4 linked regions of the Tamandua tetradactyla genome follow. The protein of the gene in region 1 interacts with the protein of each later gene in a pairwise test. Links are inferred from orthologs where the notes say so. Each region holds a gene or a part of one and is shown on either strand. Other genes may lie near its edges.

Region 1 (7,524 bases):
AGGAATGTAAAGTAAAGATTTGTGTTAACCTCTTAAGAACTGACTTTACGTGATTTCTGTCCAACATCTGCCAAACATCTTTCCGATTGATATTCCAGCAGTGCCAAGATTTTGCTATTTCAGTTTTGTTTTAAGCACAAGTCAGTTTGGTAAAAGTGATTTAAGGAGAAACTACTCTAACAGTGCTTCAACATAATAAAATGCCTTTTAGAAATGATTTGTAGTCAGCCTGAAATGTACATATTTATAAGATTTCGAAAAAGGAAATTTGTTTGAAAAATTCACTGACCAATAAGTAAATTATTTCTTTCTACTAGATAAAGTCTCACTATATTTGAATGTATTAAGACTTATGATAACTGGTTACATAAGACAAATAACTATGACCCATATTTACATTTTTTAAAATTGTAATAGTCTGATTGAGTGCAAACTGCCAAAGGTGTTTTAAGAGAATGTTGTCTGTTCCAAAATTAAAGGCAAATTCTAGAATTTTATTAATTGCAAAATGATGTAAAAAATGATGCCATATACATACATATATATACATAGGCCTTATAAATCTCAGCATCCATTAAAACCTCAACAACTGGTTTTTCTTTATAGGAACAACTTTATAGGAATACATATGTATAATACACTAAAACCAGAAAGCCAAGCAGAAAATTATCTCCCTTACACAGCTGGCTAGCCAAATCTTAGAATCATTTTTCCTCATAGTTTTAAGTGTTATCCAAAGTGGAAGTACCTGAACTGTCCAAGTTCTCAAAAACTTCCAACCCTAAAAAACTATAGAAATTATCATAAATCTTATTCTGTTCATTCTATACAACTGGAACCAGGTAGGTGTTTCAGCATCATTGGTTCAGAATAAGCATTAGAGGCTCTCATATAGGGCTAAAATATACAGGATGATAAATGGAACTCACTTAAAAAATATTTTAAAAACATATAATAGAGTAGAAATCCTAAACCACCCTAATGATAAATAAACTATGTTAATGATGATCGGACTCACTTTTCTATAACAGTTCAGAAAACACATTTTTCCTCATGTTATTGTATATACGCATTGTACATGTGTGCGCTGTTTAAAGCCAAAGCTTTAAACATGTTTGGGGAGGAATTGCTGATTTGCTGGGCAGGCAGAAAAGGGTCCAGTGCCGTGGTTTTATACAATGTTGAGCACATGAGTGGGACTCACCAAAAATCATATTTATTTTACTTTGCGGTTTTCAGGGTTAGAAAAAAAAGAGGTTAGGAGTTGTCCAAAAACAAAACATAAACCCAAACCAGGGAACTGATGCCAAATTACCTGGATCTTTTGGACCAATCTCTTTTCTTTTCCTGAATTGCTAACACTATACAGACCCTCTCTTCACAGTGTTATCTGTTAGGTGACACCCACCTCTCGGTCAAGTTGGATTCTGAAATTTTCTTGACGGTCCTCCTGTTTTTTTTTTTTTTTTTTTTTTTTTTTCTTAAAAAAGAGTATTTTTCTTAAAAACTAAAACAAAACACTGGCATTTTCTAGAGCCACATGTCATTCCCACCTGGAAGGGACAGAGTCAGGTCCACTGCACAGTGACGTCCACCGCGAGGGCCTGGGAATATACTCATTCAACAGCCTGGCGAACTCTAGCCAGAGAGTCCCAAGTGCAAGGCAGGCAACACCTCCCTTTTTGGCGTGCTTCAGTCGAGTGGGTCAAGCAGAAAGAAAAATGTGACTTTTCTCGGACTTGTGGTTCCAGGACACTCCAACCTCTTGAGCCACATACCAAAAGCAAAAAAAAAACAAAAAAAAAACCAAACTTCAGTTTGCCTGATTGACTTCTTCCAATTTATGAGTTTTCTCGATGGGGTGAACGGATCAAGATGATTTCAAACAATATGTTCTTACTCTTATAAGTAGACAGACTGCCAATCTAACTGAAATAGAAAGGTTTCTGAAGCAATTGTCATTTTGAGAAGTTGAGTGTATTAGATCAATACAGCAATCCCTAAAAGAGTAAACTTGCCATCATTTTAAAATTATAAGTGGTAAGGAAAAATAAATAGCAAAGCAGCCAGCAAGGATGAAGAAAAAAGTGGAATCTGCAGTTCAAGTCTCCACCTCTTTGAGAAAGAAAAGAAATACCAGTAGTATTACTTTCTTTGTAATTATGAAACAACAATATGTAAACACTTTTCAAGATAATAGTTTGTAATACAACAGATAATACCCTTAGGTGAGAAGGCAACTTTTGTCTTCATTCAATTCACTTAGGTTACACTAAAACACAGCAAATAAGCGTAAAATCTTATATTTATTTTGCATTTTTTGCATGGTCCTTGTTTCTCTCCTCTATCTTCCAGGTTTAAATAGTTCCCATATTACAAATGGACAATGCGCTTAAATTTATTAATGAATTACTCTCTAATGTTCGGTTTCACTGTTAGAATTTTCATTTGCACACAACACGGTATCGAAGCAATCTGATTCCTAACCGCTTTAGAATAAGTTTACCATTCCATGTTTAATTTATTATATTAGAATGCAAAACCTATAGGAATGCTTTATGGGTTATATCTAGATATCTGCACACACTATAGAATGTTTAAGAACTCAATTATATAAGATCTTGAACTGCAGATACGGTACCTGCAGGAATGGAGTCATCTGATAGGATACCAGCAAATATCCTAACTGCAAAATTCTGAAAAGTTTTCTCATGGGCCGCCCCCTACGTTTACTGACTTCTGTGTTTACACCAAAGAAACGCTCCGCAGCCAAAACATTTTTATGGTTTTTTCGGACGCACCAATAAAGTTTATGTTCAAAAGTCAAAGTGCTGTAAATACAGCCTCGATGGTCATTTGGTGAACGGTAAAATTTTTAACCCTTTTATTCTGCTCCCTACCTCGGCATCGCCCCCAAACTTGCTAAAGCTTATCGCCCACTTTCGGGGTCTTTGACTCATCAGAGGAGAATGCCGCGGATCAGAGAAGAATGCGGCGGATGTTATCTATTAATCCAAAATGCTTCAGTTTTTTGGTAAAGAAAAAGTTCTTTACCCAGAACTTTTAACTTTGAAAGGGCTGGGGACAGAAGAGTTCCCAGAGTTTCTCCCTTAAATCACACACACACACACACACACACACACACACAGCGCCTCAGCCTCAGTTCTAACCTTCCGGGTCCCAATAATCTGAGGTCACCCAAGAGTCACCTCTCGATTCCTCTTTTAAGATCGCGGGCAAACAAAGCTGAGCATTATACTTAGAAAAGTCTCCAAAAATGCTCGGAGTTACGCAATTTTAGGCATGCAGACGCGCGCAGACACACAAAAGATACACCCTCCCGGGGCCAAATTTGGGGTTATCTCTAGGGGCAAGGTCAAGCCCCAAACTCCCGTCTTCACACACATACACGCACACGCGCGCGCACACACACACACACACGCCTGCGCCCCAGGACCAGAGCCCGCGCCCCGCCGGCTTCTCCCTCCCGGCCGCCCGCACTTTGGAAAGAGCCGGCGGCTTCCATCCCCGGTCGCACCCACCACCGCACCGAACCATTCGGTACCTCTTCCTCCTGAAGGTTGGCCTCGCTCGGGGTGTTCTCCTTCTCGGCTTTGCCGCCGTTGTTCATCTTCCCGGTCCTGGCTCGCGGGGCAGGGCTGGGGCGCGGGGCTGGGCGAGGGCGCGCTCGCCCGCTCTTCCCTTCCCCGGGCGCCGGGGCTCCCTCGGGCGGGGCGCCGCGGGCTGCAGGGGCTGGAGCCGGGACAGCGGCGGCGGGCGCCTCAGGAAGTGCGCGGGAGAGACTGGGCAGGGCGAGGGCGCAGGCAGCCGGAGAAGGGAACGGAGACAATCGCGACCCGGGAGAAAGACCTGGAGAGGGAGGGCGGGCGCGAGGGAAGGAAGGAAGGAAGAAAGGATGGGGCGAGGACGCGCGTCCCGGGAGTGAGCCCAGAGAGTTGGGGATGTGGCCGAGTTGGGCTGCCACTGCCCGAGCCTAGCAGCCGCTGGAGCGAAAAGTCGGAGGTGGGGGGGGGGGGGGGGGAACGAAGGGTCCCCAGAGAGGAAGAGGTGGAGGAGGAGGAGGAGGAGGTGGAGGAGGAGGAGGAGGAGGTGCCGGGCAGCGGGGCTCGGGCCGCGACGGGGACGCTGGGGCCGCGAGAGCCGCTGAGTGCGCGCTCCAGGCAGGCTCTGGGAAGTATGAGATCCAGGCAGCTCCCTTTCTCTGGCCTTCCTCCCTCCTCTCTTCCCCCCACCCCACCCCACCCCACCCCGCCTCCCTTCCTCCTCCCTCCGCCCTCCCTGGACGTGGGCTGCAGCCTTCGGCCCTGAGGGACGGGACCCGGGCCGGCGAAGCCCCCTTGCGGGAGGAGGGGCTGCGCCGAGAGCGGCTGCCCAGCGGCCGGATGGCGCGCTCCGGGGAGGGGACGCGGGGCGGAAGCCCCCGACTTCGCGGTAGGTCCGAGGATGAAGGCAAGGGCGGGAGAGGGGAGAAGGTCCGGGTCCCCCCAACCTAAGTCGGCTCCGAGGGCCCCGGGTGTCCGAGCCGGGCCTGAGTTGGAGAAGTCGCGTGTGGGGGCACGTGAGCGTGCAGAGGGGCTTCGGGGAGCCAGGCCCCTGCCGGTGCGGGGACCCGGAGCTGTAATGGGTTACTTTTGTTGGCTTCCTTTTCAGGAGGGCTTTGCACCCCTCTCCCTAAGTTTACCCCTCCTCTTTTTTGTACTAGTTCAGACATAGCTTCTTCCCCCTCTGAACCGGCAGATTGAAATGACGGGGTGAAGTAACTCAAGAGACCCGGGGAGAGCCTGCCCAGAGCCTGCTTTTTCCCACCCTAACTTGAAACCTACCTCCTGCGCGGGTTCTCGGAAGTCTCGCCTGCCTCCCCGCACCGACTGTGGCTTTGCGCCGGATTTCCCAGGGCCCTCGCGGAGACCCCTTTCTCTTAGCCCTTATCAGACTGTTCTGGAATTATTTGTTTACCTGGCTTTCTCCCTTGCTCTTTTGGGAGATCCTTCCTGGAAGACAAAGACCATGCCCTGTTTATCTTTTTAATCCCGTGACTATTTAAATACACGACTTAGTACATAGTAAGCACTCAATAAATATTTGTTGGCTAAGTGAATATTCCTCACCGCTAGCAGAACTGGAGACACTACAGATGATCTTTAAAAGGCTCAAAGTAAGTATAAAGAAAGGGGCCTCAGTGTTCTGGGAAGTAAGCACGAACTGTTTCCTCGTCTGTAAAAGGGGAATGCTGAGGTTTATCTCCCAGGGTTTTGCAGATAAAAGGAGATAATGGATGGATAGATACAGAGATAGCATGTAGCACCCCTTCTTGCCTAGTTTAAGTCCAACCGTAGGTGGAAGCTAACATTAAGAAAATTGCACTTGTTACTACTGGGCCAAAGAGAGCTTCTCCAATAATGGATCCTTTAAGCTTTCAAACTCGACTGCTAGGAGCATAAAAATGGAAAACCCCATATTGGTAGGTTCTCCTCCACTTCCTGATCCCCAGGAATTCTCTCTCACAGCCTCCTGTTCCCTCCCAGCACCAATCACAATTTCTAATTATTTGCTTGTTTAACTTTATCTCTTTCTCCCCTCACCAGACATTCTTTACTCTGCGCTGGTTTAAGAGCTGCAGGGAGTGGGCTGGGTGTGGAGGTGGGGGTTGAAGATAAGGCCCCTGCCCCAGGGAGTTAGTGGTGTTGTGGAGACAAGCTACCCAAAACTATTTCCCATCAACACAATCTCAGAATTCTGGTTCAAATTGCAGAAAGCAAAGTGAAAAAATATTTGCATTATGACTATTATGAAGAGAAAAACAGTAAAGTGGTACTTGGACCTAAATTGGGATTTATTTGGAGGTCCGAAGCTTTTGATAAAGAAGCTTACTGTAGAAAAAAAAATACTTTTCTTTAATTGCTGTCATAATATCTTTCCTGTCTATGGGAACAAAAATATATCCTGGCTGAAAATAAACCAACTGTCTATTGAAGTGGTGACTTAAGAATCCAGAAGAGTCAAGGGCTACAGTTCCTCCCAAAACTTGGTAACTCTTGGTTCTCCTTGTATTGGCCAGTATATGGATAGTACACCTTGGCAAAGCCCTTTCCACTGCTAATACTCCCTCAGTTGTATGAGGTCACCACCTGGGGGCAGTGTCTTCCTGAGCAACGAATGAGTGGTGGTCTTGGACCCCTATGCTTGCTAGGAATGCCAGCAGTTTGCCCTCCTTGGCTATCCCAGCCTGCTGCTGAAGACACACCACAGAAAGGCATTGTCTTGTTGGCATCTGGCAAAGGCCCAAGAAAAGTGGCCATTGATCTGGTCACTGATGGTTCCAGTCAGACCCCACTTATGAGAAGGTGGAGTATGTTGTGTGAGTCCAGGATGCTGGGGGGACCTTCCCTGCCCCTGCCCCTGCCCAGGGAAATGTGGCTTGATTCCAAAAGTAAAAACTTGATTCTTTGTCTTGAAGCCAAGTTGAGACTTTGTCCATTGTTAGAAGTCAAAAACCCCAGGGATAAAAAAGGAAAATAAATTCCACGAGAGGACCCTTGTCTGGCTTGTTCATCATTATGTACCAAAGATCTAGACAGTGCCTAACACTCACATGACACTCAGTAATTATTTTTGAACAAATGAGCACATTAAATCTTATCAGTTATTGACTCCCTGGCTCAAATGACATCAAGTCTTTCTAAGACCCTGTGGGAAGGGCTGAATTAGTGGTGGCATCTTGAACAGCCCAAAGGGGCATCATGGCAGTGGTCTTCAGTCATCCTTTTTCAAGGGACAGACCCTAAATTAAGAACTTGTGCAGAATGGGACAACTGATGAGATTTCAAGAAATAAAAAATGTAATTACACTGCTGTATCGACAGTAAAGGAGGAAGACCTAGGAAATACTTAATGGTAAGAGCGAAATTCAAGGTGTTCCCAGAAAAGTGCGTAAGGTTCGGGTTATATGCTGTGAAAAAGAGAGATTTCTGTTTTCTGACCATTTTGTAAAGAACTGTTTAGACCTGTTTGAAAGAACAATTGAGCAATGTTGTATTATCAAACAAGACCCACTGAGAATCTGTAAACAGACTTTTGCTATTTATAAAACTTTGGGAATGAAGGGAGTTTGACTCTGGAGAAAATAATATGCATTCAATCAGGATATAAATGGTCTTTATGACCTGTTTACTACTTAAAAGAAAAAAAGTGAGAGCTTCTCAGTAGCAATAGTTTCTTGGTATACAAAGAATTCTAAGACAGCAAATGGGATATAAGTCCTAGAAACAACATGGGGTAATGAACAGGAAACCTCTGCTTCCTCCCCTGCCCACCACCTTACCACGTTGCCATTTGGCCCACGAGGTTAAATGCTTGATTGAAAAGGAAATACTGTGTACACCTGTAGTTTTTATTACTCATCCCAGTTGCTCTGGCAGTGTTCATTTTTGAGGTTTGCTTTAAGAAGTTCCAACCTATAATTATGTCTTAAATGTTTGTCTCTGGGAATTGCGGACATTAAAA
Region 2 (8,112 bases), on another chromosome or scaffold:
GTCTTTCTACAATTCACCCCACCCCTGCAATGACCTTGCAGACATATATTTTTAGCTCATCAGTGTCTCTACGGTTACATTTTTTTAAAGTCTATTTAGGATCTTATGTTGAAATAATAGGTCAGCCCCCAAATTAACAACTCCTTTTCCTAGAAAATGACTAGAAACATACAGTAGACTTTGTTCATTTCAGTAAGTTCCAATCAAAACATTATAAAAACTACAGAAGTATAAGTAAGACACACTGGGGAGTCACAAACCCCATTCTCTTTACAAAGAAATGTGTTTCCAAAGTCTCCAAAACAACAGTAATATATACACATCTCATATACAATTAAGGAAAGTTTTTAAACTTTTAAAATATTTAAATATCAAACTTTAACACTGCATAACTTTATGCAGATCACACTTCCAAAAAAGCCAGAACTTGAGAATCTTAATCAGAAAACTGTAATCAAATCTACTCACAGATACAGTACCTTTAGATTCATTCTAAAATATTCCAGAGTCAATCTGAGAGTTATCAAAATGTTCAAGGAAGCACAAGCAGTGCTATACATTATGTCAAAGCTGGCATAACTAAAGTTTTCCACACAGTCATTTACTACAGCTGTGGATTCAAATTCCAAAATTTTCTACATTTTTTTTCCTTACCCTCGACCCAAAGGAATCTGAATAATGGATGGAGGGGTCCTTACCAAAATGATGACATAAATGGTGTATGGGGAGAAAAAAAAAAAAGTGGACAGGGTAGGTTAAAAGGTGTAAACTCTAGCTTTCAAAGACAAATATCTTTTCCTAAACCTCGGACTTTCAAAGATTATTCTCTAGCTCAGCTTCAAACGCAGAATAAAAAAAAAAAGTTATGAAGTAGAAAATGGAGATAAACACAGCCAATCACAGGACAGCAGTTTGAACTAAGCCTTTTGCTTTAAGGGCTAACTATATCTTCTTTAATTTTAAACATCATATTGCTTAGAAAACATTTAAATTCACAGATTTGTACAGCCTTTCAAAAACAGACTACATTAATGAAAATATGTCAAATACTATTTTAGCAAAATATAACTAAAAATTATATCTCTAAAGGTATTCGTTTCAGCTTTGTGAAACTGAAACTCTGGTATTCTGAATTACTGCAAGAATTTATAAAGTTGTGAAAATGAACATTACATAAGTTTCTCTATGGTTTTGAAAAACTGAATGTGATAGTGAGAAAACATTATTTTAAAGTATCAAAATACTTTTATACAAGGCACTTAGATATTTTAGCATTCCCTACATGACAAGGTATTAAATTCCTGACTTGTTAGTTTAGGCTTTATTGAGTATGGTATACCAAGACCATGGACCCCAGATCAACGGAAACTTTTTAGTGGCTATTCATTTTAGTGGAACTTCATTATAGCAAAGGTAATTTGAAAATGACTAGGATTAATCAAAACTGTATGAATATGTAAGTCTGAAGTTATTTCACAATAAAACTATATAAGTGAATCAGTTCAAATCCACTTTTAATTATTTTTATTTAAAAATTAAAGCCCATTTTTAGTTCTAGAAGTCAAATATAAAATGTATGAAAACTTTTAGGACTAAGTGTGTCACAACCTCCAGTAATACTGCATAGGGCTGGCTTAAATTTAAAATTACTGAAAAATTGAACGATTTAAAAATAATTTGTAGGGCGGGCCACAGTGGCTCAGCAGGCAGAGTTCTCACTTGCCATGCTAGAGACTTGGATTCGATTCAAGGTGCCTACCCATGCAACAAATATAAATAAATAAGTTTTAACTAACAATTTTTAAATATTGCTTTGAAATATTAATATGAGCTCTGAACTCAGGAAAAATACATCCATGTAGAACAAAAGTTCTTGTCCAAATTAAACACACTATTTACAAGCTGATATTTGAATCTGTTATCAGTTTGAACATACAGATTATACTTTCTTTCCTCATTTACTTGCCTCATCAACCAATACTAGTAAAATAAAATGGGAAACACCACCCAGCATTAATGTGCAAATCTGGACAATTTTTACACCACGTATTTGATTTCTGATTACAAACTCCCCTTAAACTAACAGGACTACGTTTCCTAACAACACAAACGACACCACGAAAAATTTACAAAGCTTACTTTGAGTTCATAAGCTGGGTGTGTTGTTATTAATAATTCTACCTAAGACATTCAGTAACATACATGTTTGTACGTATCATAACCTTTGATAATTAATAATCAATTCCAACACTCCACTCTCAAGGGGAAATCAGCACTTAAAATAATGCCATAGCAGAAAATATTTCACCAAAAAAAAAATTAAAACAGAATTTTAAAATTTTGCACTGTGCATACAAGTCAATGATCACAGCTCACAAGGAGCTTTAATTCTGAAAGACCAATGGAAGTTTTTTAAGTCCTCAACTGTATACTGGTGATTCCTGAAAAGAAAATACCTTCCGATTTTGAAAATAAGCATAACCGTAATGAATATACGCTACTCTATTATACACGCCACGCACCATGAGCTTCCCGGTTATAACGCCGTCCATACACAAAAAGCGGGACAAATTTTTAAGAGAAACCAAGTCTTGAAGAGTTACGGCCAGTCCCACTTTGATTTTCTTATATATATTGGCCTACAGTCGAATCATCACATAATAAAAAAGCTAGAGTATTTGTCAAAAATGTAAAGCGTGTTAGAGCTTAAAGCCAACTTCAACAACAGATGTTCGCAAGGATCAGAGCGTGAACAACGCCAGAATTAAATCCCAGGTCCCCTGACTCCAGGTTCGACGGCCTCTCAAGTATCCCAAAGAAAATATTTTAAGTAATCAGTAACTGAAATTACCTGATGTTAGGGACACAAAAAATGTTACGATGTGTGCATTACCGTCCATGGCTCCCGCCGCCTGTAGGGGAGGAGGAGTCAGTCATCGTTCCCGTATTCCAGCAGCTTTGCACAGCTCAAAACCCAAAAGACCAGAGAGGCGTAAAGGAGAGACAGGAAAAAAGTGAAAGACAAAGGAAAGTTCCAGGCTCATCGCCGCTTAGACCTCGACATAAACGACGTGCCCGCTAAACCTCACCCGGCAGTCGGGGCGCCCCCGGGGCGTCGTCCCAAAGCGTCTAGAGGGGACGCGCAGGCGCAGCAACGGCCGGCTGGGAGGGACAGCAGATGGCCCTGGTCTGTGGTGGGCCACGCAGGGAGAGTTTTAGGGAACAAATATGGAGGGCAGCAGGTGAGAAGCGGCCGGAAGGCGTCTGGGATGGGCGGAAACAAGGCGGAGGGAGGTTGGGCGCCACGGAGCGGAAGGAGCCAAACGAGGGGCTCGGCCGAGGCCGGGAGCTGAGCTGGAGGCCGGACGCCTGAGACCACGCGGCACGAGCCGTCAGCGAAAGGGAGCCAGCCGTCTATCAAATGCGGGCCGCCGGGGGCCGGGAACACGCATTTATGACACCCGCCCACCCCCCAACCCCGCCCCTCCACGGGCTTTGAGAATAAGGAGGGGTCAGTCCCACAGACACCGCCCCCAGCCGGGTGTGGGTGTCCACTCCACCGGGAGGCAGGGTCTCCAGCCGTTACCATCGGTTTGGCCATTGCTCCGATGCCCTCATCCCCTCCTCACCCCTTCGGGTCTTCAGATGTTCGTCATAAATCCCTGGGACGTGACCAACGACCACAAACCGCCTTCACCGTTTCGGGGACCAGTCAGTAGGAGTGGGGAGCCACCGTAGGGGGGGAGGGGAGCCCACCGGGAGGAGCTCGTGCTGTCCTCGTGCCTTCGCCTGGGCTCCCATCAGGCATTACGCGTGGACGGCCCCATGTGGAGTGGAGAAGCATCTACCAATCAGTGGCCAGCCCGGACCACGGGCGGTGGGCGGGGCCAAGGTTTAAAGGCTAAGCGGGCTACTGAGAGGGGAGCAGTATTTCCTGGGTTGGGTAGTCACGTTAGCCAATTGGGACCAAGAGACAGAATTGGGGAGTTTGGTGGGTGATGTGTAATGCTAAATGTAGGTTCTAGTTGGAAATTTGAGTATTTTGTTAAGGCATTTAAAACAGAAGATTATGATTTGAACTTCCGTACTTTTTCGTACTTCCGGAAAAATATATGTGGTTTAGCACTTTTTGCTTGTATTTGTGTGGGTTCTATTTCTTGTTAACCATAGTTTTCAAGTCAAACTACTAATATATCCTAAGTTTGGCTTCTTTTAAAGTAAGTGCTTGAGGAAGTATAAGGTTAAAAGGCAAATATAGTGGGAATGTAAAAGTTAAAACGCGTTAAATACATAGACATGTGGGCTGAATTAGGAGACCTGGTAATAGACTTTACTAGTAATCCGCATGGGGAGAGATTTGGCTGTGATGGAGCTGCTGAACCAGATTCTAGGCCTATGTAAAACCAGCTTTTGCAAATAGGACCATTTGGCATTCTGTAGACACCCTAAATTGTGCTTCCTTTAATGGTAGAGCTCAGGATTAAATGGCAGAAAAAAAATTACTTAAGGAACCAGTTCCGTTATTTGAGTATGCTTTAGGGTCATTATCTAAGGATAACATGTGTAGACTCAGATAACATAATTGGAGAGGGCTTAGGTAGACCCTCCTTTAACATATGAGGAACCTGAAGCCCCGAATAACCGACTGGGCTATAGCACAACACCTATCCCGCTACTCCCACTTCAAGGTGTTTTTCTTCCATACTAACTCCTGATTTCAGTTTAAATTTGTCTCCATATGTTCAAGGATCTAATGAATGCATTAACATCCATTTTCTTTGTTAAGAATTGCGTTATGTTTTGACATCTGTATTTGTCACTGTCCTCCACAGTGGGGAATTAGGTAGGACTTTGGAGCCAGATCGACCTGGGCTTAAATCCCTGTATTATCAATTGGTGGTTGTGATACCTCGGCAAATCACTTAAATTCTGAGTGTCCCAGTTTGAAATGGCAATGGTGAAAATTAAATGATATATTAGCAAATATTGAACATTTAATACATGCCAGGCACAATTCGAAGGAATTTTCATATATAAGTTGACTTCTCCCTGGAACTGGCAAAGATACTAGTCCCATTTTTAGTGTTTTCCTGAGGTTGTACTCAGGTAAATCGTGGAGACAGGTTTCAAACCCAATTTGGCTCTCAAACCTGCAGGAATAACCACTATGTTATACTATTTCAAAATGTGCCCAGAAACAAAACATTTGGCATAATACCAGGTGCATAGTGGAAGCTCAGCAAATATTCCTTCCTAAATCTCTGCCAAATCTCCTTTTATGTAGCTTAATGCATTGAGAATAAAGCAACCAAAAAATATAGATATTGAATATATCTACTTTACTTAAAAAAAAATGGTATCAATTCTCTATCTCATCTGCAAAGATGGTAATTATATCATGTTATTATTTGTGATTGCCCTTTTATTTCTCCAGAAAAAATATTTTCCACATTCTTCCTTTTCATGTTGGTCCTGTCTCATATCCCAGTAAGTTTAAATGGAAGTGTATTTCCTTTTTAAGGTTAAATTAACCGAAATTGTTAAGACATGCAAATTGTTTCTAGTAGTTGCTGTAGGACCCAAGAGTCGCTAGGTGGAGATGTTATCTTGTGGAATGCAAAAGACAGCTCTTGGAGGTGGCCTGAAGGGTTGTTTCACATTTCTGGAATTTTTCGTTTCTTTTTTTCCAAGTGTGAAGAAAACCAACTAAACAAGGGATCCTCGTGTAGGCATAGAACCTTGTTTTAGATATGATAGCGTTATTTAAAGGCCCTTCCCAAACTTTAATTATATATCCTTTTGGTCAGATGCTTCTAAACTTTTATTATCCAAAGTTCATTAGCAGATGTGTTTTTCTGAAACTGATAAGAAAACTATATTCTCTGTATGTAAAATTAAAGAAATGGCCTTTAACTTTATATTTCTGGGCTGCTAGAAAATGCTAAAACACTTACCAGCCAGAATTCATCTTCAGGAACAGATCCCAAACTAGGGTTTGTTACAAGTTTATATACAAGTTTATAGGAAAAAAGGTGATCCAAATGAATAGGAAGAGAACAAATAAGAAATGTGGAGGTATTTTAATTGAAATAGAAGTTAAGAGTTGGAAGGTGCCTGTTGGCAAGGGAAGAAATAAAAATGGAGCTCTGAAAACACCGGAAAGAAATATCATCACTGTGGAATATGGAGAGAAAAGATTACCAATAAAAAATTGGACGGGATATACAAAACATATTTAATGAAAGCAGTCTGGATATCTTGTATATGTGTCCCCCTCCCCACATGAAATGTAAGCTTTTTTAATTATTTAGAAATATTTTTACAAGCCTTCTATAAAGTACAGTCCCCAATGTAGAAGAAAAATGATGGAAAGTTATTATAATTGTTTAAAATCCAACCTAGTCCTAATGAAAGGTGAATGGTTTCATGTGAAAGAACAGAGTGCAGAGGTCTGGTTTGTATTCCATGTGTTGGAGCTTCCTCTATCCATACTTGGCAATGATGGCACAGATCCATCAAAAACATGGCAACTACTTACATGCTTATAGATTTAATGATCTATAGATTACAGCTGAGGAGCCAATGATAACAATTTAATCTTATCACTCTCCAATCTCAATGACATCAAGAACTTTTCAGAAATGTGGGTTTTTTCAAAAAATGTTTATAATAAATGTTTATTCCAGTTCTCTGACCCTTACTTTTGCACCCTAGTTTGATGCTTTCTTCCTGATGCATTGCTTTAATTTGAATTTTTCATTACTTGGGAATGTAAGTGTCAGCACCAAGATGATTATAAGGTAGAATAAGTGCTTAGCATTGCTTTTTCCAATTATGAGCCATCTATACATGCTATCAGTGTGCCTCCTGTGATTAACAGCTTCTCCTTTCCAGGTGGCAAATCAGAAATAGAGATTTTTCTTTGTACTTAGCAAACAGCCTACAAAGCAGGAAAACTCATGACCAATACCTCAATTAGTTTAAGTGCAAACAAATGGAAGTAGTAAAGTCAGCCTTTGCTGATTGGTATTAGTTATTCACATCAGGATACAGCCATCCCTTTTTGTTTTTCAATCAATTACTATATTATAAATAGTATTAGATAATACCAGGTAAAAAAATCTGTCCCCCCTCCCCCAGAGATATAGACTTAAACTTCAACCTGAGAAAATTAGTATATGGAAATAACTTTCTGATAGAAAAGACTGATTCAAAACCAAAAATGCTTTGGTTGGGAAAAGAATGTGATAAAACCTTCTAGCCTTATCTCACCTGAGAAGTTTGGAAGTGTTCTACTGTTCTTGTTTGCTAGCTGCTGGAATGCGATATACCAGAAACAGAATGGCTTTTTAAAAAGGGGAATTTAATAAAAGTTGCTAGTCTGCAGTTCTAAGGCCAAGAAAATGCCCCAATTAAAACAAGTCTATAGAAATGTCCAATCTAAGGCATCCAGGGAAAGATACTTTTAGGTTCAAGAAATGTTCAGGGTTTCTCTCTTGGCTGGAAGGGCACATGGTAAAATCTGCTAGCTTTCTCTTCCAGCTTGTTTCATGAAGCTTCCTTGGAGGCATTTTCCGTCTTCGTTTCCAAAAGTTGCTGGCTGATGAACTCTCTGCTTCATGGTTCTGTGGCATTCTGTAGCTTTTTCCAAAGTACTTCTTCTTTTATAGGAGTCCAGTAGACTAATCAAGACCCACTTAGAATGGTGGAGACAGTCTCCATCTAATCAAGTTTAATAACCACAGTTGATTGATTCACATCTCCATGGAGTTAACCCAATCAAGCTCCCAACCTATAGTGCTGAATAGGGATTAGAAGAAACCGTTGTTCCCACAAGATTGATTAAGTTTAAAACATGGATTTTTTTAGGGTACATAAACCTTTTCAAACCAGCACTGCTAGTTTGGATAACAAGCAGTTTGGATAACTGGATAACAAGTTACAATAGAACTAGAGTGGAAAGACTCCTTAGTAAGCAAGGAAGGCTGAATGACTTGCCCTAAGTCACAGAGCTGGCTAGTGGCAATACTGGATCTCCAACACCTCTCATCTGATTAATAATCTGATAACCTGGCTCTAGTAAATTGCACTTTTAACTTCCACTGTGATTAA
Region 3 (8,150 bases), on another chromosome or scaffold:
TTTTCACTTCAACATTTACTCAATACAACAATTATTAATGAGCTATTTTCTATTCTTTTTTTTTTTGGTACAGCTTTAAAATCTAGGGTGTATTTGTATGAGTCCCATTTCAAGGCTGACCATATTGGACAAAGCAGACCTAATGAAAGCAGGTGCTTTTGTTTTTAATTGTAGACAGAGTATTATTTTAAAAGAACCTAATGTGTGTACTGTTAAGCCATAAATTGTGGGCAGATATTTAAATACAATTTTAACTATATTCTTGAGTACATGACGATGATAATGTCACTGTCACCCAGAGGCTTGTCCTCCTGTAGTGCAGGCAAAGGGGCAAGGATGAAGATTCAGCACTGTGTATCATAAAAGTCTCCTTGCCAAGCTCCTAGCCTGGCTACTTAGTTAGGGCGTGGCTATATGACCTCAGAGTCCACTGTGTGAATGGTTTCATTTTTGTTTTTAGTTTATTGTACTCTTTTAGTCTCCCCAGCTTTATTTGTGTGTGCAATCTCAGGAAAGTATAGTGGTTTTGCAAGCACATAATGGTTTGCTCAGATTTAAAAGTGACATATGTAGGATAATACCCTCCTTCTAACAACCTGTTTAAGGGTCAGTGTTTCCATTAAAAATGCAAACTTTCCAGGATTTATTTCCCAGCCATCACAAATAGCTCTGGCAGAAATTCGGAGAAATTTTGTTCCTGAGCAACTGCCCTCTCCCAGGTTTTCAATGATTCTGGTATTTGAATCTCAGACTTGAAAGCCTGATTGGTATGATGATTCTGAGAGGGGCTGGGCCAATCACTGAGGAATCCTCCGAATCTTTTTGTTTTATCATGGTAAATATTAACCTTTTTCAAAAGATAAGATTTGTTCTGCTGTGAACTCTCTGCACACTGTGTCTTATTTGTCTTTGTCTTGTCAGTGCCTAGTCATTGTAGGTCCGTAATAAATGACTGCTGGGGAAATAAGTAAATAAAAAGTAATTTGAGAATTAAGACAGTGTCTTTTCAGTAATCACTACATAGTACTTTGAAAAACTGTTGAAACTGTCAAAAACAAACAAACAAAAAAAACACAAAAACAATGACCATGTGGCTGGATCCTTAATCTCTGTGATTTCATTCATCTGTGAATACCTCGAAGGTTTATTCTAACAATTAAATGACATATAATGAAAGCATGAGTTGGTTCTACAACTTTTTTGAGGCTGGGCTTCACCATCGATCTTACCTACATTTTGGGAGCTTTTGAGGATACGATACCAAAGAGCTATGGAAAATATCAAAATGCTGCATAGACACAATTGGAACGTATATTCTTGCTACTCCCAGGCTTAAGGACGAACCCCTACAATTACTGTCACTGTAAGCATTGCAAAAAAATGTACATACTTCATATAATTTGTGTGATTCCAAATGAAATGAATTTCTCTGATGCATGGTTAATTGCACTGGGTTAACTTAACGCCAATGTTTTTAGAGTAACAGGATTTACGCTTAGAATTGCCTTGTTTTGTTATCATGTGATCTTGACTTTTGACAAGAGAAAAACTAAGACATTTTATGACTTCTGAGGTCCACTTTCTTTTAAACTTTATACAACTCTAAATAAATATATCAACATTCTATTAAGCTGTCAAAGGCTGTTCTGATCTGTTCAATTATTTGGCTGTTATAACCTGGCAAGCTGTTTTGGTTTGTTTGTTTTATCTTGTCTTATACTACATAACAGTCTACTTCCAATAAAAAGGTATACTACAACGTAGAATCTGCTAGGCTTTGGGGGCCTGTACACTGTTTTATTAAGCACTCTCGTGCTCCCTCTGCTGCCATAAGGAAAACATTCACGTCTGAGACCCCAGTACATTTCTTAGCATAGTGTTCTCTTTTGACAATGATGATACAGATTTGTGCATAAATTAGGACTCTTCTGAAATGGAGTACTATCCGTTCAAAGCATATAATGTAATAATTTTTTTAATACCAAAAATCACAAAAAGGAGAGGAGGGAGTGGAAAGGAACAGATAAAAGAATTAAGTTCTGCACCTGTGGCCAAGTTCATTTAGCTAGAGCCCTGTAGTATAAACCAATGTTCCTCACAAGTACTTGGGAATCGCCCCGGGGGTCTGGCTAAAATGCAGATTTGCGTGCAAGAAGGGCTGGGGTGGAACCCTTGATTCTGAATGTCTGTAAAGCTCCCAGCTGCTGCTGCTCCAAGGACTACTCTTTAAAGAAGCAGGGATATAATATATAATTATATGATATAGTATTCACTTGATAGCCCTTTTTAAACCTTCCGAATTAGACACTACCAAAACAATAAAATAGATGCGATTATAATTATTTATCCATGGTATTTAAGCAATCCAGAGCACAAGCTAGGTAGTGAGTCTCAGCAGGCTTTATTTCTAAATTTCCTTTAATTTCAAAGGTTGACTTACACTTGTCTGAATATAATACGAGGTTTATGAATAGGACTCTAGGACTATATATTTGCCTACTGGCTGCTTGAAAGCCCTGCTCTTCTTCTTTCACTGAGTTTTTATTTTGCATGAGAAAATCTTGTTTTTAAAGAACCAGTGCCTGTTATTTGTGGCTGTGTGTTTAATATTTTGCCATCTGAGAACAAAGTATTTCAGGGCTAATGGTAACAAAAGTGTATCATGAGCATTTATGTTTATGTTGGACCTTGCAGAGAGAAATAGTTACAGATTTTAGTCACAGTTTATGGCTTTAATCTTAATGGCTAAAAAAGTAAATGGCACATTTCCTATTGTTTTTACTGTTTGGTGAGTATACATATTTAGCTTGCTTGAGGGAATATTTAAATTAATGGACTAGCGCTAATCTGAATTATGTGTTTTAATTTGCTTAAGGCTGTTAAAACAGCATAAATTAACTGCTTCTGTCACTGTAATAATTAAAATATTTGCTCTTTTTTTATTGAAAAGTCTCTAAATGTAAGATGTCTAAAAGTAGAGTGGAGGTGGGTTGGGCAGTCTGCAGATGATGAGTTGGAATAAAAACATCTCAGTTAAGCCAAAAACATGGCAACCAATATTTTCTGCTATAAAAATATTTTAGATAAATTTAGTTTTTATGAAAGCTGTCTGAAACGGAAAGAAATGGCAGAAGCTCTGTGCTTCTTCACAGGCTAGTAACAGTAATACCTGTAGCTCAAAGCCTACATCTTGTCCTGGTAAAGCCAACAAGCCCCGGCTTGATTCGGAAGTCGGCTCTGCCAAGTGAGGGAAGAGATATTATGTGGTTATGTTCTCCGATATTAACCTTCACTTTGATAAAGCTTGTCAACAGAAACAAAACCAAGCAGAGCCTTTCCAGGAAAATGATTTTAACTGTCCACTAGAGGCTGTAATGAGACCAACAATGTCACTTTAGACCAACCAGAGGTTTAAATTGTAACAATCATTGATTTTTTTAAATGGAAAAAAAAAAAGTTGTAGAATTGAGTAAGAGTGAACAGTAGTATCTCTATTTAAATAGCCCCATATATGTGCTCGGAGTTTCAAAATGTGAAAAAAAAAAATTTCGGGGCTCACTACCTTCCTAGTTAGTATATTTATTTTTTACTTTGGGAAGCACACGGGTTCTACGATAGTGTTGCTTAAATGCTTTTCTCTCGGTGATTCTGTATCCTGCTTTCAGTTGGTGACTAAGCCTTAAGTCATACGGAAATTCGGCCAGAGGCGTTTCAAATACGGAGTACGGTCAAACTTACGTGGAGAGGTCGTGCTTCTGTACGCTTGGTTCAGAGTATCTCAAGGAGGTCAGATGCTACTCTGACACCTACTGGCCTTCCAGAATGATCTGCAGCAAGGAGAACGCTGGCCGAGCTTCCTTGGCACGGAGATGCCTTTTCCCCAGGTGCCACACCTGTGGGCGAGGTGCACCCCACCAGTGAAGGTTGCTTCCCACCGAGCTCACACCGCAGGCGGTACACGCAGAGGAGGCAGGGCGGCGGAGAGTTAGAGGATCCGACTGAAAAATAGAGTCCGGAGGAAGTTCTTCGGCGTGGATTCTCGAGAACTGTCATTTGATGCTCGGTTGGCTTTTTCTATCTCCTACACTGCTTACCTCATTTCCGATTAAATTAATGATCCCGAATTAGCCGGAGAGGAGTTTGCGGGTCGTCACTCCCGGCTGGAGCTGAGCAGTTCAATATCTAAAGCAGATTTCCGGACCTGCAGAAAGAGAAAGGAGGGAAGGCGCAGAGGTCACCAGCTTTCGCCCGCAGTGAAGGTGAAGGCGCACGTGGAGTCGAGAAGACCCTTAAAACTTTCCTGAGTTGCGAAGACGAGCAAACCCCGCGGCCCCAGGGTCTGGGTTCCGGAACGGCCGGCTCTAAATCGGTTTCGGGGTTAACCTGCAGCTGGTGATCCGAATCAGCCCTCGCAGTCGCTTCTAAGGAGCGCCGGGGACCAAGGGCACGTCGGGGTTAGAGTGGAGCTGACCTTCCCTCCCCCTTCTCCCCCTTTCCCCCTCCCCGGGTTACGCACTGGCTCTGAGCCAGGCTTCAGCTGGCGCCCGCCCCCCCCCCCCCCAGGAGGGTCTCCCAGCGTGCCAGAGTTGCACCCCGCTGTTCGTACCTCCTCCCCGGCAAGGTGCAGGGACCGGGGTTGGCGCGCGGGGACCCACAGATCACCGCTAAAATGACCTCATCGCCTCCGCTCCCCGCCCCTTTCGCAAACCTAGAAGGAACCGGGCCCGGGTCCTTGTCTCCCCCACGGAGCCACTCTGTCGGGATGGGAAGTGGCGGCGGAAAGGAGCCGCCTTCCCTGAGGACCGCCCGACCCCGAAGGGTTAAGGGCGCGGGGCCGGCCGCTCGCCGTGATCGGTGAGGCTCGCCGGGCCGCCGGCCAAAGCTCCCCCCCCAGCCTCCTCCCCCCACAAGAAGTGAGATCCTTGAGCTGCGGCGGCGGCAGCCAACTGCTCCATATTTGGCTTCTATTACACATTTACATACTGGAGCGAGCGAGCTAGCGAGGGAGGGCGGGCGGGCGGGCCAGAGGAGGGAGGAGGCGGGGAGGGGAGCGCGAGGAGGAGGAGAGAGCAGAGTATACCGCAGACATCATTTCTACTACAGTGGCGGCGCCGTACAGGACCTGTTTCACTGCAGGGGGATCCAAAACAAGCCCTGTGGAGCAGCAGCCAGAGCAACAGCAGCCGCAAGACATTGTTTCTCTCCCTCTGCCCCCCCTTCCCCACGCAACCCCAGATCCATTTACACTTTACAGTAAGTGGCTGTTTTTTTTTTTTTCCTCCTCTCATTCTCTTCCCCCTCCCCCTCCCCCTCCCCTTATTTAGATGCCCCCCCACCCCCCGCGCTCTCTCGAGGGGGGCAAAAGAAACAACCAGCAAACAAACCCCAAACCCCAAAAGGCGGCACGGAAAACAGCTGGAAGAGGAGCGAAGGAAATAGACGCGTTGTGATGTGTTGTGTGTGTGTGTGTGTGTGTGTGTGTGTGCGTGTGCGCACATACAACCGTCCTGGGCTCTAGCCTCGCGGGGGCTCACATCCCCCCCCCCGGCAGGCAGGGTGGCAGGCCGGGGCTGGGGGAGTGAGGGTGGGCTTTCGCGAGGCGAGGGGGGCGCGCCGGGCTGGGGGCGCGGACGGCGGCGGAGCCCTGCTCCGAGTGCGGAGAACCATGTCGTCCCTCGGGGGAGGGGCGCAGGGAGCGGCGGCGGCGGCGGCCGGGGGTCGCGCTGCCCTCTCCTCCCGCTGCCCCCTCCGCATTCACCCGCCCCGGCGGGAGCTGCAAGAGCAAGTGGGTCGCGGACAGGCCGGGCTTCCCCGAGGGTGGCCGCCCGGCTTCGGCGCCCGGGGGTGGGGGTCTCCCCGCGCAGGCCGGCCTCGGAGGCGGTGCGGCTGCGGCCGGGGGAGAGGGCTGCGCCGGCCGCCCGGCCCGGACTTTGCGCGTGGCCCGGGGGAGTGGAGAGGTGGCCGCGGGGGGTGGGGTGGGGGTGGGGTGGCAGCGAGGGTGCGGGTGCCCGGAGCGCCGCTGGAGTGGCGGTGGCGGCCCCGGCTGCCGCCGCCCTGTTGGTGCTGCCGCTTCCTGATCATGTGCAGCCGCCGCCGCCCGGAGCCCGGAGTCCGCGAGCGCCCGCGGCTGGAGCAGGGGAGCCGCGGCGGGCGCTGCCCTGCGCTGGGAGTGAACGGCTGCGCGGCTGCTGGGAGGGTGAATGAAGCCAGGAGGAGGGGAAGGAGGAGGAGGAGGAGGCGGCGGAGGAGGCGCTGCGGGGATTGGGATGCGCCCTGGAGCCCCGCCGCTCTTTCACTCTGGGCCGGCCCGGGCCGGGGACTCTGCTACTCCCGCGGCTGCAGCCGCCTCCTCCTACGAGCTTCCAGCGCTGCGTGCAGGCCGGTCCCGCCGGGGGCAGGGAAAGGGCCGGACGCGCAGAGCTAGAGGTGAGGCGGTGTCGGAGCGGGGCGTGAGTGTGTGTGAGTGCGTGTGTGTGTGTGTGCGCGCGCGCGCGTTGGGGGGAGGGGGGAGGGCCGTCGCCCGATGGGGAGGGGGCGCCTCGGTGGCTACTTGGCCGACTCTGCAGCGCCCCGACCCCCGTTCAGCCCCCCGCCCCCAGGCCGCCTTCCTAAACTCCGTGGCTTGTGCTTTCATTTTATTTCAGACCACGTAGGAGGTTGACTGGAAGCGATGAAACAATTCAGGTTTTCTAGGGAGATTGAGCAAGAACCTTAGTGGGGGGTGGAAGTAGGGTGGTGATCGAGATTGTGCCAGAAAACAAAACAAAACAAAAAAAATCACAGTTTCTACGGACGATGGGGTTCGGGTCATAACCGTGGCTGCTCTGTTTTGTTTCGCTTTCTTGGTATATAATCCTACACATAAGATGGTAATATAAATACTTGAGAAGATTGGGAAATTGCTGAAGAGTAGTAATGGCAAAGAAAAAAAAAAAGCCAGTCGGAAGCGGGTTATATAATGCGCGATGTGGCTAACAAGAACGGCAAGCTATTTTTATTTTGTTTACCGTATGCTGTGCAGTAGGGACTCTTCCAAACTGGTTCTTTCCCCGAAGAGATTCTTAGCTTCCTTCTGAGATCCACAGGATACAATTAGCAAAATTAGAAGACCCCATTACACCCGCAGGAAAAAAAAAAAAAAAGAAAGAAAAGAAAACTAATGCCTTACAGTGGCATCCTCCCTGCAAATCCTATGGTGAAGGCACGGGAATGTTGTATGCAAATAAGTTCTGCTTTAGCAATCTAGTAGTCACATCTCAATGACATTTGTGTTTTATAATGCAGGCTGCTCTTAATATTTAAACATCATCATTCTGTATCGCGCGCAGCAGTGGGTAGTTACTAGATGGCTATTTTTAGGCACAGCTGGTTACTTTTTCAAAAATATTAGCTAAGCCTTTTCTTTTTGGGTTTCTGAGGAGTCCTGCAGTTCCTAGAAGCCCCTGCTAAGCCCACCCTCTGGTTTATTTGGTGGGTAATGATAGTTTGATACTTGGGCTTCTTTGGAAGGAAGCTCTGCCCCAGGAAACCACCAGAGAGAAGAAGGAGAAAATCCTGCACAGGAACTCTTGGAAAGGGATTGCACCATAACCGCTTGTGCTGTGCCATTTAATCTCCTTTGATTGCCCTCTAACCGTGCAGGCGTTAGTCAATATTTTAGCAGCTCCGTAAATAAATGGGCCTGCCTACTACCTTCTTCTACATAAAGCAGAGGTCGAAGGGCTCTCCTGAACCTCCTGCTGCCTGTCTTTCTCATCATGTAGATACATGTCAGTGGTGTAGGTTTTCGGTGCACTTACTCCAGCCCTGATCAGTCATGTAATTAGATCAGGCTGCCATGGTAACAGACAGTGTTCCTTGGTCCATTCAGGTGGGAGTGCCTGAACTACTCCAAGTGTTTTCTGCACAGTATTTGTGCTGCCCGAGCCAGACGAGAGACTTCACTATTTCAATTGCACCCTCTTTCAATTCTCTGTCATTTGGACAAGAGATACTGAATTAGGTTTCTAGCTACTCAAGTTTACGAAAGAGACCAAGAACCAGTTCTTACTCGGTGCGGTATGTAAATGAATATCTCTCTGCATGGTGAAAGGAGCCTGACAGCCTTACTGGTGTTTGTTAACAGATCAACAAGTATTTGGTACTTGTTA
Region 4 (8,270 bases), on another chromosome or scaffold:
CAGGAAGGAGTTGATGCTTGAGGCATCAATACTGCTTGAGGCAGAATTTCTTCTTTCCTAGGAAATCTGTTTTTGCTCTTAAGGTCTTTAAATGATTGATGAGACCCAGACACATTTGTGGAGGGTGATACCCTTTATACGAAGTTAACTGATAGTTGATGTTAACCACATCTACAAAAATGCTTTCACAGTAGCACCTAGTTTACTATTTGATTACTGGGTGTTATACCCTACCCATAAAGTTAAACACTATATGTGTCTATATACTGCTTACAATAAAGTTATTTCAGATATAATGATATATCTTAAAAGTCTTTATTGTATTACTCTATCCATACACTGGATAAAGGAAGTGTCAGTCATATTTTTACAATAACATGGTGTTTTGGTTTGCTAAAGTTGCCAGAAGGCAATATGCCATATACAGATTGGGGATTTATCAAGTTACAAGTTACAATTCTAAGATGTGAAAAATGTCCAAATTAAGACACTAAGAAGAGGATACCTTCTCAGAAGCAAAGACGCCAGCATGTGAGACACTGTCGTCAAGTGGGAAGGCACATGTCTGGCTTCTGAGGTCCTTGCTCTCCGTTCATTGCTTTCAACTTCTGATTCCAGTGGCTTTCTCTAAAAGCATCTCTGGGCCCTCAATTAGCTTCTTTGGGGGCAAACTCTGGATTTTATCTCTTAACATCCCTTGGCTCTTTCCAGATTCTGGGTATTTCTGTGAGTCCTTGCTTAGCACCTAGGGTATTTCTGTCTGCATCCCCAATTGTTTGTGTCTGCTTTCTGTGTCAGTTCTTTTAGGTACTCCAGTAAGCAAATAAAGACCCAACTTGAAGGTGAGGCCCACATCTCCATAAAAATAATCTAATCAAAACAACACACCTAAGTGGCAGGTTGTCCCCACAAGATTGGATTAGGGTTAAAAGAATATGGCTCTACTGGGGTGCATAGCAATTTGAAATCAGCACATTCCACCCTCTGAACTCCCAAAACACATATTCTTTCCCTATATAAAATACATTATTCCACCACAATATCACAAAACCTTTAAACAATTTCAATAACAATATAAATACAATTTCAACTCAAAAACAGTACAAAATCTTATCAAAGTCAGTTACAGGCATGATCTGTCCTAAGGCAAAATTCCCCTCTGGCTGTGGAGTTGTGGAACTCAGAACAATTACCTGCTGTGATATACAAAGGAATGACAATCATAGGATAAATGCCCCCATTTATAAAGAGTGATATCAGAAGGAAAATGAGAGTCAAATGTCCTAAACAGTTTCTAAAACCTGCAAGGCAAGCACTATTAGATTTCAAAGTCTTGAGATTATTAATCTTTAGGGCTAGAAAGAGCAGCAGCCCCACCCTTTCCAAGGGCTTGCAGAATGTCCCTGTTTTCTCCAAACACTGGAGTGAACATTCCATCATCACCAAGCACTGGGGAGAACTCCTGTTTTTTGGCCCCACTCTCTTTAAGCATCTGGGTAGCACCCTGACTCTTTGCTGTCTCTGGGACATATGCTCAACCCCTTCAGAACAGTGGGCTATCTGACAGTGTCTCTCCAATCCTTCAGAAATGTGCTCCATCCCAAGGAGGGAAAACTCTACCTAAGCATCAAAGGGGCAGGCCTACCCCTACCTTAGGGGCAAACCCTCCACATGCATATGTATATCTGGTCCCCTGACTTGGGATTTTCTGGCTTCATATCTTAGCTTTCATTGTTCTACCATTGAAGTAATTTTTCTTTCAATCTGTACCTTTTCTGTCCCTTTTAGTACAGACCAGCAGTGGTTCTATTTATACAAATCTCACAAAAAATTGTTGGTTTTCTTTGCAGCACACAGAAATCACAATCATTTGTCAATACAGTTATGCACAAATCCTTTCTGGATAACTTCATCTCCAATTCCAGCTTGTCCTGTAATGGCTGACAATTCTATGTTTGGTTAAATCCTAACATGAGGTAATATTCTCTGGAGTCTCGTTTCCAAAGGCTCAGAATTTTTCAAGCTATCAGTTTCTGGTTTCTTTGTACTAAGAGTTCAGTTCTCAGCTTTCCTGTTGAATTTTACTGAAAGCTGTAAGGAGAAACAAGGCTGCCTTTTCCACATTTAGTTTGAAGATCCATTCTGCTAAGTATACCAGCTCATCACTTTCAATTTCTGCCTTCCATCCAACACCAGGACTCAATTTTGCCAAATTCTCTGCCACTTTAAAACAAGGGTCACCTTCCTTCCAGTTTGCAACAACACATTTATCATTTCTATCTAACAATTCATCAGAACCACTTTTAGTGTGAAGAGAACAACAGTCTCTTCAAAGCAATCTAGGGCTTTTCTTTTATGCTTCTTAAATTCATCCTGAATCTTACTCATATCCATTTCTAAAGGCATTCTGGTATTTCTGGTATTTACTTATTACAGCACCCCATTTCCCTGGTACAAAAATCTGTTTTTGAATAGCTAAAGCTGCCAAAATGCAATAAAACAGAAATGGATTATCTTTCATTAAGAAGATTTGTTAAGTTACAATTCTAAGGCCATGAAAATGTCCAAAATAAGTCACCAACAAGAGGACACTTCTTGGAGGAAAGGCAGCCAGCATCAGGAACACCACTGTCAATTGGAAAGGCACATAGCTGACTTCCGAAGTCCTTGCTCTTGGTTCATTGCTTTCGATTTCTCATTCCATTGGGCATCTGTGGGCCCTCACTTGGTTTCTTTGGAGCAAACTTTGAATTTCACCTCTTAGCTTCCCTTGGTTCTTCCCAGATTCTAGCTATTGATGTGAGTCCTTGCTTAGCATCTGGAATATTTCTGTCTGCATCTCCAAATATCTGTGTCTTTTCTCTGTATTGGCTCTTTAAGGATTACAGTAAACTAATTAAGACCTAGCTTGCATGGGTGGGGTCTCATCTCCATAGAAATAATCTAATAAAAATGTTCCAGCCAAAGGATAGGTCTGCTGCCACAGGATTAGATTAAGATTAAAAGAACATGGCTTTTCTGGGGTACATAATAGTTTCAAATCAGCACACATGGTCACATGATAAAAGTTATATAATTATACAATCATTATCAAAGATCAAGGCTACTGGATAACAATTCAAGAACTTCAGGTATTTTCTTCTGGCTATTCTAGAGTACTGGACTTTAAAAATAACTACCTATATAATGAGTCAGTAGTCTCAGGCATTTGTTAAATCTTAATTTCTCAGTAACACCTCCTCTCTCTCATTTGCTCATTTTCTCAATCTTCAGTGGTATCCGGGCAATAACCATTTTAACTTTTTTATGCTGGAAAGGGGAGTTACCTTTATAGAGTAGAAGAAAAAACTGGTTGATGTTCTCAAGAGACTGTCACCTTTGGTTTCAGGACTTATCTGGCATAGGAACAATCTGGAAGTCTAAAAGTTCCTGAAAAAAAAAAAAAGAGAAACTTTTATGGAGTCTTAGATAAAGTCCATGGAATTCTTTAGGGTTTTCAGAAATACCATTGTTGGAGCTTGGTTTATTGTGGCAATTTTGCAATATGTGGATGAAACTTGTATAAGGATAGTAACCTCCAGAATAAACTGTCAGCTTTACTTGAAATCTTTTAGCCACTGAAACTTTATTTTGTTTCATTATTTCCCCCACACACACACCTTTGGACAAGAAGGAATTTTCAATCTCATGCTGCCAAGGCCAGGGTCATCGCTGTCAGGAGATTTACAACTCTGGGTATCATGTCCCATGCATTAGGGAGTGTAGTGAGTTTATTTCCACAGTTGGTTTAAAAGAGGTTTTCTGGGTTTGGCTCTTAGGAATAATTATAAGGAGGCTTAGCTTCAACATTGCATAAATAAATTTTATAAAGGCAAGCCTGAAGATCAAGGCTTATTAAAATTGGGATTCACTAATGCTTGAAAAATATAAGGAATTCCCCAAGGTGGGGAAGTTTAATTCCACAATTTTCCCCAGTCTTTGCAAATGATTATCTATTTTTATTTTTATTTTCGGCAAATAATTTTTATCTTCTTCCCAAGGTACTCTGGAATACATTAGGGTATTACATTAACCTGTACAGAAAAATGTGATCTCATTCCCTATTCTATGTCCAATGTAATTATGTTGTTTAAACAAACTGATCAAACAGGTTAAATTAAATAGTGTGCTATGGAAAAGTTAAATTTTGTAACAAGTAAACATCTCTTACTTTGGTCTCATATAGAATTTGAGGTTTTGAAATACAGGTAATATCATCTCTTACCTTGTAGTCCAATTTAGTTTATCCCTAACGAAATCTGTTTCATTCATAACTGTAATTGAAGTCTGATCTCTTTTTCAGCTTCTTGAACAGTCACTCTATGGAATAATGCTGAATTTAAGAGCTGCAGAAATCTAACTCTGAGTCTCAGGTGTCACACAGATAGCCAAAGTTCCAGGAAGAACTACCAAATTATACACAAAGAGCCAGCATCTCAATATTTAGCAACAACTGTTAAATTTCAGTAAAAATTTGACTGCTGTGAGAATTTATCATTTGAAAACCTTCACAATGAGCATTATTGAACAATTTATACTTCTTAATCACTGATTTTCCAATATCTACCCACTTTCTATCCCCTATTAAACTATGCTCTAGAATTTAATTCTCAGAGCTTGTTCATTATATTTTGTTTATATTACTGAGACCACACAATGTTTATCATTTTGTTTCTGGCTTGTTTCACTCAAAATCATGTCCTCAAGTTTCATTCATCTAGTTGTAATGCCTCATTTCATTCATTCCTGCAGCTACTCAATATTCCATTATATGTATTCATCACCATTTGCCCATTTATTAATTAGTCATTGTGCCCATATGCCACCTCCATCCATTGCAAACCATGAATAATGCCACAATAAACATCAATGTACAAGTGTCTACTTGTGTCTCTGCTTTCAGTACTTTCATGCATATGCCTAATAACAAGGTTGCAGGAGCATATGTAAACCCTATACTCAGCCTCTTGTGGAACCACAACACTGCCTTCCAGGAGGGCTGCATCATTCTACCTCCCTACCAACAAATAATAGTTACATCTCTCACACCAATCTTCTCCAGCATTTGTTTCCTTCTGTTTATTTTTCAAACAGTTTTATTCCCACACCATATAATTCATCCTAAATGTACAATAAATGGCTCCTGGTAATTATCTATTCTGCAAAAGAACGAGGAAGAGGGGAAAAAGGAAACAAAACAAGAATCCCATACTCCTCATTTATATCCCCCTTATTGATATTTAGCTTTGCTATTTTGCCTTTGATAAATTAGTGAGAGAATTTTGCAATGTTACTGTGTATTTTTTCCATATACCATCCTATTTTCAGCACTTTGCAATGATGACATTCATTCGTTGTTTCTTATGTAAAAAACTTTTGTATATTTGTACTATTGATAACCATTATTGTCCAGTGTAGTTTTCACTAAATTATTTAAATCCAGTTTTTATCCTCTAACTTTACTTCTGGTGTCACACATGAACCTAGCCTTCCACTTTCAAATATACACTCAGTTTTGTTCATTAAACTTACAATTTTGTGCTACCATCATACAATATTGTTCTATCTGATTCTGAATCTTTACAACCAATCCTGTTGAACATTGTGTATTCCTTCAGTATCAAATGCCCAATTTCCACGATTTTTCTATCTGCTGATAGCCAGTGTTCTCAAATTTAACTCTCAGGGTTCCATTATAATAGTTAGTTCATATTAATGAAACCATACAGTATTTGTCCTTTTATTTCAAGTTTTCTTTTTTAAACATTTTGTCTTCAAACTCCATCCACACTGACGCATTTGTGTCATGACTTTATTCCCTCTTCCACATGTATGATATCCCATCATATTTGTATACCACAAATTATACACTCATCTATTGATACATCTTTGGACTATTTCCATCTCTTGACAATCATGAATAATGCCTCTGTAAACACCAGCTTGCAAATGTCCATCTGTGTCCCTACTTTCAGTTCTTCCAAGTATACACCTAGTAATGGGATTGCTAGATCATATGGCAGTTCTATACTTAGCTTCCTGAGGAGCCACCAAATGGTTTTCCAGAACAGTTGCAATATCCTACATTACCATAGTGAATAATTGTACCTATTTCTTCACAGTCTCATTAGCATTTATAGTTGTCTGTCTTTGTTTTTGTTTTTAAAAATGGACATTCTAGTAGGTATGAGATAATATTTCATTGTGGTTTTGATTTACATTTTCCTAACTGCTAGTGAACTTAAGCATCTTTTCTCTATATGTTTTTGAACCATTTGTATTTTCACTTTTGATAATTGTCTATCCATGTTTTTGTCCATTTTTTAAATTGGGTTATTTGTCTTTTTGTTGTTGAGTTGTAGGATCTCTTTCATATATATGGATATTAAACCCGTATCTGATGTGTGGTTTTCCAATATTGTCTCTCATATCATTGGTGCTTTTTACTTTCCTGACAAAGTCCTTTGGCATGCAAAATTATTCAATTTTGAAAGATCCCATTTATCTATTTCTCCTTTCTTGGCTCACGTAAGGTCTAAGAAACCATCTCCTACCACAAGATCTTTAAGATATTTCACTATGCTTTCTTCTAAAAGTTTTATAGTCTTAGCTCTAATGTTTAGGTCTTTGAACCATTTTCAGTCAATTTTTTTATAAGGTGTGAGCTAGGGCTCTTTTCTTTCTTTTGGATATGGATATCCAGTTCTCCATGCATCACTTGTTGAAGAGGCTGTTCTGTCCCTGTTGCATTGACTTTGACCACCTTATTAAAATCAAATGTCCATCAATGAGAGCATCTATTTGAGCACTCCATTAAATTCCATTAGTCACTCTATCTTTATGCAGGTATCATGCTCTGTTGGCATTGTAGCTTTGTAGTATGATTCAAAGTCAGGTAGTGCAAGACCTCCCCCACTTCATTTTTTTTGTACACGGGCAGGCACTGGGAAATGAACCTGGGTCTCTGGCATGGCAGGCACGAACTCTGCCTTCTGAGCCACCATGGTCTGCCCTCTCACTTCATTTTCTCCCTCAAAATATTTTTAGCTATTTGTGAGACTCTGCCCTGCCGAATAAATAAGATTATTGGTTTTTCTATTTCTGAAAAGTTGTTGAAGTTTAACCTGGTATTGCATTGAATCTATAAATCAATTTGGATGAATTGATATCTTAACTATATTTAGTTTTCCAATCCATGAACACAATATTTCTTCAATTTATTTAAGTCTTCAATGATTTATTTTAGCAATATTTTGTTGTTTTCTGTGTATAGGTATTTTATGTGGTTTGATTAAATTTATCTCTAAATATTTTATTTTTTTGTTTGTTATTGTAAATGGATTTTTTCTTGATTTCCTCCTCAGATTACTCACTACTACTTTATAGAAACACTGCTGATTTTTGTTTATTGATCTTCTAATCTGCCACGTTGCTGCAATTATTTATTAACTCTAGTAGCTTTGCCGTAGATTTTCAGGAATTTTCTACATATAGGATCATGTCATCTGCAAACAGTGAAAGTTTCATTTATTCCTTTCCAATTGGATGCATTTCATTTCTTTTTCTTGCTTCTAGCACAATGGAGAATAACAATGGTGACAGTGGGCATCTTTCTCTTTATCTAATCTAAGAGGGAAAGCTTTCATTCTTTCCCCATTGACTATGATGTCAGTTGTGGGTTTCTCATACATTCCCTATATCATGCTGAAGAACTTTCCTTTTAATCCTATCCTTTGAAATGTTTTCATCAAGAACAGATGCTGAATTTTGTCAAATACCTTTTCTGCATCAATTGAGATTATTCTCTTTTTTCTTCTTTTGATGTGGTTTATTACATTAACTGATTTTCTTGCATTGGATCACCTTTATGTACTTTGAATAAAAGCTACTTGGTCATGGTGTATAATTCTATTAATGTGCTGCTGATTTGATTTTCAAGTATGTTTTTGAGAATTTTTGCATCTATATTCATTAGAGATTGGTCTGTAATTTTCATTTGTTGTAGTATCTCTGTCTTGTTTTGGCATTAGAGTTATGCTGGCTTCATCGAATGAGTTAGGTAGCTTTCCCTCCTCTTCAATTATTTTAAATAGTTTGAGCAGGATTGGAACTAATTCTTTCATGAGTGCTGGTGGAATTCACATGTGAAGCCATCTGGTCCTGAACTTCTCTTTTTTTGGGAAGTTTTTGATGACTCATTTAATCTGTTGTGATAAGTTTGCTGAGTTCTA

The links.
Region 2: the proteins of RBPMS (region 1) and RBM46 interact in a two-hybrid assay, tested with the Homo sapiens proteins (2 studies listed by BioGRID and IntAct). The two-hybrid records come from large-scale screens. The link is inferred for Tamandua tetradactyla from reciprocal best matches to the Homo sapiens genes RBPMS and RBM46.
Region 3: the proteins of RBPMS (region 1) and ATXN1 interact in binary tests that used the Homo sapiens proteins (3 or more experiments, as listed by UniProt). The link is inferred for Tamandua tetradactyla from reciprocal best matches to the Homo sapiens genes RBPMS and ATXN1.
Region 4: the proteins of RBPMS (region 1) and keratin-associated protein 19-7-like interact in binary tests that used the Homo sapiens proteins (3 or more experiments, as listed by UniProt). The two-hybrid records come from large-scale screens. The link is inferred for Tamandua tetradactyla from reciprocal best matches to the Homo sapiens genes RBPMS and KRTAP19-7.

Annotation. Positions count from the first base shown.
Region 1 is NC_135352.1:13,318,779-13,326,302, forward strand, and holds the start of RBPMS (RNA-binding protein with multiple splicing), read right to left. Parts: upstream 3,678-7,524; 5' UTR 3,632-3,677; coding exon 3,566-3,631; intron 1-3,565.
Region 2 is NC_135348.1:12,148,864-12,156,975, forward strand, and holds the start of RBM46 (putative RNA-binding protein 46), read right to left. Parts: upstream 3,082-8,112; 5' UTR 2,901-3,081; coding exon 2,852-2,900; intron 1-2,851. UniProt on the Homo sapiens protein: Essential for male and female fertility, playing a crucial role in regulating germ cell development by ensuring the proper progression of meiosis prophase I.
Region 3 is NC_135351.1:19,862,337-19,870,486, reverse strand, and holds the start of ATXN1 (ataxin-1), read left to right. Parts: upstream 1-5,043; 5' UTR 5,044-5,253; intron 5,254-6,112; exon of another isoform or gene 6,113-6,426; intron 6,427-6,584; exon of another isoform or gene 6,585-8,150. UniProt on the Homo sapiens protein: Chromatin-binding factor that repress Notch signaling in the absence of Notch intracellular domain by acting as a CBF1 corepressor. Binds to the HEY promoter and might assist, along with NCOR2, RBPJ-mediated repression. Binds RNA in vitro.
Region 4 is NC_135336.1:90,102,885-90,111,154, forward strand, and holds the start of keratin-associated protein 19-7-like, read right to left. Parts: upstream 3,432-8,270; 5' UTR 3,327-3,431; intron 1-3,326. UniProt on the Homo sapiens protein: In the hair cortex, hair keratin intermediate filaments are embedded in an interfilamentous matrix, consisting of hair keratin-associated proteins (KRTAP), which are essential for the formation of a rigid and resistant hair shaft through their extensive disulfide bond cross-linking with abundant cysteine residues of hair keratins.